Styela clava: one gene and its partner. The protein of the gene in region 2 purifies or fractionates together with the protein of the main gene of each other region. This does not show direct contact. Links are inferred from orthologs where the notes say so. Each region holds a gene or a part of one and is shown on either strand. Other genes may lie near its edges.

Region 1 (3,931 bases), on a different chromosome or scaffold from region 2:
CCTTGACTGCCAATCAAACCATGAGCAGTGTTGAAAAGATTTATTGGAGAATTTCCATCGGTTATCAGAGTTGATGTTAAACCGAGGGCCTTCAGCATTTTCACTTGCATATCTGGTCCGGCAGAAGCAATTTTGCAAATAGTATCCGGTCCGATGGTTTCAACCATATTTTTGAATTTTTCTGTCTCGATATCACCTAACTGCTTCTGTTTCTTTACTTCCAATTCGTCCTGCTCACGAGAATATTTCAGTTCTGCATCACGGGCTGCGGTCAAGCGCTCTAACTCAGATGTTGAATCGATTCGTGCTGCCTCTGCTTTGAGTTTTGCTTGGTCTACAGCAGCTTGACCTTCAATTCGAGCAGCTTCTGCTCTTGATTGTGCTTCTGCCTTAGCTTGCCCTGTGCTTTCAATTGCAGCACTCAATGATTGAAGTTCCAGAAGATCTCTTCTGGACCGTTCAGCCTCTGCTTCATCAGTAATCTTTTGACGTTCAAGTCTGCCTCTTGCTTCCTGCTCTGCCCTTTCTGCTTCATGACGTGCAGTCGCTTCCTGGGAGTTTGTTGTGATTTCAATAGCAAGTTGAACAGATTTCACCAGAGCATCTCGGGTTCTTTGGTCCACAGGTTCAACGGACTGGATATCGATAGAAGTTATAGTCAGCCCATTTTGTGGGAAAACGAACTTGTCACGAACTTTTCCTTTTTCATCTACGCCAAATACAGAAGACCTAATGATACGAGATGAATTCTTATGAAAATCATCGAAAGTGACAGAAGCAACAGCCCCTCTTACACGAGATGCAATTGCCTTGCAACAATCTCCCACAAAATCAGGTACACTGAATAATTTTGCAGCATCTTTCTGGTCTTTTCGGGCATTGTCTGTATCAAAATACCAATTATATGCAAGTTGCAATGAGAGACGTGCATGGTCAGCAGTTTCAATGGTAATGACATCAGTACAAAAATCTGGTCCAAGAAGCAACGCAAGCGACCTAATGACATTCGGACGTTTTGGTTTTCCACCCGAGAGCGACAATTGCGTGAATTGCTCATCAGGATTGAGCATCACAAGCTCAGGTCCGAATATCACTCGTGCTTTCTTTTCCTTGTAATCATAAATTTGTACACAAGCATTATGAGGAACTCTATAAGAAACTACTCTTGTTTTATCACGACGTAATTGAGAGGGGCCTTTGTTTCCTTTCTCCCACATCCCTCTGTCAGCCGAAGGATCGATAGCTGATGTCACTAGTGCCTCAACATTGGGAGGAAGCTCTTTCTCCCAAAGTTCTTCATCATGGGTCAACATGTAAGTGCGGCCACAAACAGCTCGAACTTTACCAGTTTTTAGGTCACGTATGTATATACCTTCATTTTCATCGAGAGAAATTGCACTTCTTTTAGCAAATACATTGACCTCAACGGATGGAACATATTCGGTGGGTCCTCGGATCATCCACTTGTCTCCTGGCTTGCGCTGTATTTCATTGCTATCATCAAAATGAGCTTCTTTTGCTTGTAATATAAGGCCCTGATCTTCTCCAAGCACATAAACATCCTGAATGCCTTTCTCTAATTTTTCACCAGGTTGAAGGAAAAAAGATGCTTCTCCTTTCACAAGTTTGCGCTTGCCAAGTTGGTTCTTTCCATCATCTTCTGAAACTGGGTCAACTATCACACAATATTGTCTACTGTTCAAAGTAGTTATATCAACAACACCTAAGACTTCTTCATGAACATCTGGAATATGAGATTCCGTGTCCGACATACGAATTAACCATTCTTCTCCATTCTTTCGTTTCACATTCAAAAAGTCTGTGAAGGTACGACTCGCTTTCATATGCAAAGCTTTCTTTTCAGTAAGAACATATGCCTCCACAAGTTCGACAACTTCTTCATAGGTTCCGGGTAAATATGCTCCAACTTTTTTAATTATCCACTCCTCCCCAGTCACACGCTCAGTGCCATCCCGATCAACTGTTTCTTTTCTCGCACGCAATTTTATTGCTTGATTTTTGCGAATCACTGTGGCTCTGATAGTCTCCTCTACCAGAACCTCTTTGCGTGGAATGTAGGTACCTGGTCCTTCAAATAACCATTCGTCACCAGCCACTCTCTTAACATCACCGTCAGTAAAATCAAGTTCCGCTCTCATACGCAACGCAGAATTTGCAGGGACAATACGCAGTGCACAAACAGCAGATTTTAAAATTTCACCAGGATAAAGTGGGAAGGGATCCTGAGCCAAACGAATCTCTCTATCAGCATAGCTGAGCTTTGCCTGACCAGACTGGTCATACTGAACTTCACCTTCTTTATTTCTTACAACAGGATTTTCTATGGTGCAATAATGACGAGGTGGAATCGTAATCATACGCTCCGGTCCATATATGACTCTTTCATTATCTTGCCGAATGTAGGTTTTAGGCCCAAGCTCCAACTTTGTTACATTGGTGTTCTGGTCCAAAACATGGATGTAGAAATAAGGCGGAATTCTGTAAAGTGCTTCATCCTGGCCGGACATGTTAGCAAATGAAGGTGCTTTCTTACTCATTTTGAGTTTTACAAATACCTATACAGACTGTAAATATATATAAGGATTAAAGATACAGTATTTTCAATTTTTGTTTGGTAAATTGGTACCAATCTTTTAATTTACTTAGCGAGACATCTATGACTAATTTTAACGTTTTCCTTTGCTATTTATTACATATATGAAAATATGTTGGAAACAGAAAACAATAATATAACATCAGAAAATCACTACGGCTGTACGGCGCTAAAAGCAAACAAAATACCAGATTCTCAGTACATGAATTCACTTTGATAGCATGAAAACTTATATTACTGTATTACTAAATTGGATAAGGGTGATACAATAAAATCGGGGTCTTTGGAAGTTTTTTTAGAATCATGACATGAAAATTAATGCAATTATTTGTGTTCTGCTTCACTGTGTTCTGAAGAAATTCCAGAACAAAAATTGCCTCATCTCAGCTAAGGTGGTGTGAACCTGATTTGCCAAAGTCAGATAGTTGCATGCTGATAAAGTACAAGTAGTATACAGATTTAAAAATTAAATGATATACATCTGTGTGAGATAATGTGAATTGCATCAACATTGACTAATAAAGGTTTATTCTTTCCAAAAGCAAAGCACAATTAATACAGTAATTTCATTGAGAAAAAATCATCCTGTTACTTGTCAAGGAGCATCTATATTTATTTTTGTTCTTTTTTTATGCACAAACATGTGTTTACGCAAAAACAAAACTATTTCCTAAAAAAGCCAATCAACAGACAAACCAATGTTTTCTCATAAACCATTTCTCTTCATTCTCACATCTGAATTAACAGAAGTTTTGCAAATATTGTTTCCAGGTAACTAAACTCTTTTCATTTAATTTTTAATTAAATGAAAACTACTGTTATTGCTGTATTGCTTGCAGTTTAACAACTGAACAACATGAATTGAACAGAATTATAATCATATCATTTTGATTGATTGAAGTTGATTTCATTTTTTCAAGTATTCGCTTACAACATGAACACCGGCCACAGTTTGCCTCAAGTATTCTTTTTTAGGAAGCACTGTATCACAATTCTGATGATTTGTTTCACCATTCTGGAATCAAGTTCTATTAAGTGGTCTAGTGACTAGTCCACATCTTCCTGCACCTAACTTCGATTTGACTTCATGTAACTACTGAACTATACCGGTAACCACAGAATCAGCTTTGATATCTTTTTTGATAAATATTTTTCTTTACCGTTCACAAAATCTATATTTACTGATTTAATTTGGCAATGATTATAAAATTATTAATATGGTGTGACAAAGAACTTTTATCATTTAGTTTTTTATTAATTTACTACAGTACAGCAGTACCGGTACCACTGTACCATGTAATTTATTCAAGGTTTTTG
Region 2 (3,931 bases):
ACCTTGAATATTACAGTTATGATTGTTATTGATTTTTAGTAACTATAGGTAGTTGTTTAATTATAATTAATATACAAACACATAAAAATTTCTGTTCGAAGTTGATCTTTAAATTTGTCATATTGACTGCTGCGCCTATTCTGATAATGTCTACTCATATATATTGTATTCTTTCATTGTACTGATGGAAATGTGACAAATTAAACAATGTGCTTTAGAATTTTGAGAAAGGCAGAAATATTGCATCTCCCATTTTCTTTGAAAATGCCACCTTCTTCATGTACTTTGCGTTTCATTTAATTCATGAAGTGTTTTTTCTAATATTCTTCTCCTAGCTTGAGGTGTATCCATAATAGGGTCAAATTGAAAACAAAAATTTTTTTTTATATTTAAAACTATTTTCAGTAAGTTGTCGCTTTCTGAGTGGATAATCAATTTCACTTTAAATGGTTTGGAAATTGTATTACATTTAGATAGAGAACAAAACTTACAAAATATTACAAGTATTGTTGAGTGTTCGAGGGCCGCATTGGAAGTTCTCTGGGGCTGCATGCGACAAGCGAGTTTGACACCTCTGTGCTAGAGAACGATTTATTTGTGAATATGTGTGATCTCGTACAAAAATGACAACATATGACCTCGAAACGAAATTGTATTCTGTGCATAATATATTTAAAACAGAAGTATTTTAAGGGTCATCAGACGCATTTCAAATCGATCGTACGTAATTCAATCTGTCCCGACCAGAGCCCGCCTGATGCTGCCGCAATCAAACTAAAATTTGTTGTTTTAGCTAAAAATAAGATCAAGAAGTTCGTTGAGTTTGCGAACAAATTTAGTTTTGGCACGAGACTAATTGTTTCCCACTTTTGCTTTTGTAACACTGTAATTACGTAATTCTACTTACATGGCCTCTAGTCTGTCGAAACGAACAAAGTGTCTGGACGACTGCAAAAATTTCAATGTTATGTCACCGTTTACTTTTTTCTGATTGGTCATTATTACAAAAAATAAATAAATAAAGAAATCGATGCTCGTGGAAAATCCATTATTATTATGGCACTCTGACACGTGGTTGCACTATAGAGCAAAGTACCAGGGAGTTGGAGAGCGGTTTCACATCACAAAACTAACAAAATCTAGGTAGCCTAACTACAAACAGACAAATGGCGTTGCAAGTATTCTTGCATTATGCTTATTTTACAGTTAAAACACGCAACAGCACGGCCGCGGTGGTTGCATCGGATGTAAGTTCGTGCTTTAATAAGGACAGAATAGAATATGGGGAACATTTTTGTTTTTGTATGTAACTATTGTAGGCTATACGGTAGCGATTTAATATTCTGATGATGACTTGAAAATTTTAGAATCCTAACCAGCGGTAGTAGATTATGTATTTGAATGAATTGGATACTACTGATGCTGAATTTATGGAATACGGTTCCGGTAGGCTATATAATGGTGATAGGAATTATATTGGATGGTGACAATTAATGTAATGTGATGAATATTGTTTTAACACATTAAAAATAAAAAAAAATATGTAGTACCGTACCGTTTAAAATGATTAAAGAATGTGTAATTGCTATTTGAAACATGCATTTATTGCTCCGCGGTGTGGCGCATTGTGTCAAGCTTTAAGAATAGGCTCCACCATCAAGTCCATGCATATGAAAACAAATAACTGGCTAACTAGTAGTAAATATGTAAATCCTAACTTTAAATATGCAGGTTCTATTTCTATACAGTTACGGTACCGTACTAGGCCTAGATACCAAGATTTCATTGAGAAAAAATTCTCGATGCCTAGATATTTAAGTTGAGCCTATGCTATAACAATAAAAATTGAGGTGACCTCTAGACCAGTGGTTCCAAAACTTTTTAGAGTTGGGACCCACTATTTATTACCCCAGCTTATGGCGGCCCATTTAACTTTAATAAAACATTGATGGAGGAAAGAAAAATAGGACCTGGCCTGAAAATAAGACCCAATTTGAATTTTAAAAAGGATTTTAATAAAACTCTACCCTTAAAATAAATTTAAAATGTGTAGGAGAGAAAAGGTTCAATGACCTGAGGTAAGGTGAAGATTTCAACGCTGTGTAATGTCACAATCACAATTATGATATTTGTCACTTGATTTTTGTATAGGAAATACAAATAAAACCAATGGATGTTGGTTTTTATATAATGTTTATTAAAAAATCTCGTGATTTTCTACAGTGTAATTTTATTTTGATAAATGAACACAAAAGACCTCTTCCAAAAAAAAACAGCGTTATTCTTCAAATGAAAATAAATCTAAATCCTGTCTAAATTTAAGGGAAACACAGTAAGAAGTGCTGTACAGTGTATAAAACTGCTATGCGCAAAAAAGCCACATGGTCATTCTTTGTGTAGCAAATTTTTGTTCCTTTGAGAAGATCATAAAAAGAAAACTTTCACAGATTAGAATTTAAATTCAATTTAATTTCTTTTGTTTTTTTTGAAGATTCACGTATTCGAGTCGCCACCGATCCTAATAACCAGTATAATTAAGCAAAGCTTTCTACATCTTTTCACGACCCACCAAGATTCCTTTTGCGACCCACCGGTGGGTCACGACCCATAGTTTGGGAACCGCTGCTTTAGACTATCTACGGTAATTGAAAAAATTTATGTTTCGAAAAATTTAGCCTCGATATCTTTTAGTATTACCTTTCAAAATACGGCCAGGTTATCTCCAGATGACACGTTTTCAAAGCAAAGGAATCCCCGCCAATCTGCCAATAGACTTCCTGACTGTTATCAACTCAGCAACCAAATATTTTATATTTTGTCATATAACAGAAAAAATTGCTACAGTCTGACAGTATCTTATGATCTACCAAATCTTCACCTTGAAATTGAAGAGCGGGCTTATAGCAATATTTAGTGTTTTCAACATTTTAATGCTGTAGCCATGTCCTCGCCTAGAATAACTGAATAATAAATAATTTCAATTCATCAAGTAGGCCCAGTCTAGTCTCTTGTGTCTCTGATAATAATTGGACGCAAAGTAATAAATAGGCCATGATATTGTAAGTTAGTGACATTCTAATAAAACTAACATTATCTTATTATTGTATGACATTAGACTCCTTTGTTCAAATCTCATAAACTTTCTCAGAAGATTTTCTAACCCACTTTCTCACCTTTTCAGTAATGCCCAATCAGGCAATCAGTTTCGTTTTTTATGGCTTTTCCAGAATACCTTTTAATTAGTGAATATTATGGAGTTTTCAAGATAAACTATCTATCTGAATTAGGTTTTGTGTAGTTTATCACACAATTTATTACTGTATTTCAAAAGTTATACCAGCTATCTTCAGTTATTATCAGTGTGATTACCTACATATTTAAATCAGTAAGTGGCAATGAAAAGAACTTCAGGGGGTGATCATGCGTCATCTTCCAGCGCATCGAGTTCAAGGCCACTGCCCTCGGTATTGGGGACATTCCGTGACATGAATGAAAATTTTGTTTGCCCTATATGCTTCAATTTAATCGATGAGGCTTATATGACACAATGTGGACATACATTCTGCTACTCCTGTCTGAAGAGCAGCCTTGAACAGGGTAACAAATGTACCAAATGCAATACATTAATCAAAAAAAAGGATGACATCTATCCCAATTTTATGTTGAACGATTTGATAAAAAAGCAAAAGAAAAAAATTGAAGATATAGCTGAGACATCTAAAAAATTGAAGATGGATTCCAGACTCTGGGAATGGCAGACTTTTCTTGCTACTGAAGAGGATGGTCTTCAACTGTCAGATGTTGAACATATGCTTAAAGCTTTGCAAGAAAAAAAGCGAAAAATGCTTCTTGATAGTGCAGTCGTACATAATAAAATCTTATTAGAATTTTTACAAGATTTGGGAAAACGTAAAAAGGCTGATCTCGACCG

Evidence for each region.
Region 1: the proteins of E3 ubiquitin-protein ligase COP1-like (region 2) and major vault protein-like purify together in Homo sapiens (affinity purification with mass spectrometry; 3 studies listed by BioGRID and IntAct, with this or other methods). This does not show direct contact. The link is inferred for Styela clava from reciprocal best matches to the Homo sapiens genes COP1 and MVP.

What each region holds. Positions count from the first base shown.
Region 1 is NC_135260.1:15,801,474-15,805,404, forward strand, and holds the start of major vault protein-like, read right to left. Parts: upstream 2,602-3,931; 5' UTR 2,559-2,601; coding exon 1-2,558. UniProt on the Homo sapiens protein: Required for normal vault structure. Vaults are multi-subunit structures that may act as scaffolds for proteins involved in signal transduction. Vaults may also play a role in nucleo-cytoplasmic transport.
Region 2 is NC_135256.1:12,987,961-12,991,891, reverse strand, and holds the start of E3 ubiquitin-protein ligase COP1-like, read left to right. Parts: upstream 1-1,175; 5' UTR 1,176-3,395; coding exon 3,396-3,931. UniProt on the Homo sapiens protein: E3 ubiquitin-protein ligase that mediates ubiquitination and subsequent proteasomal degradation of target proteins.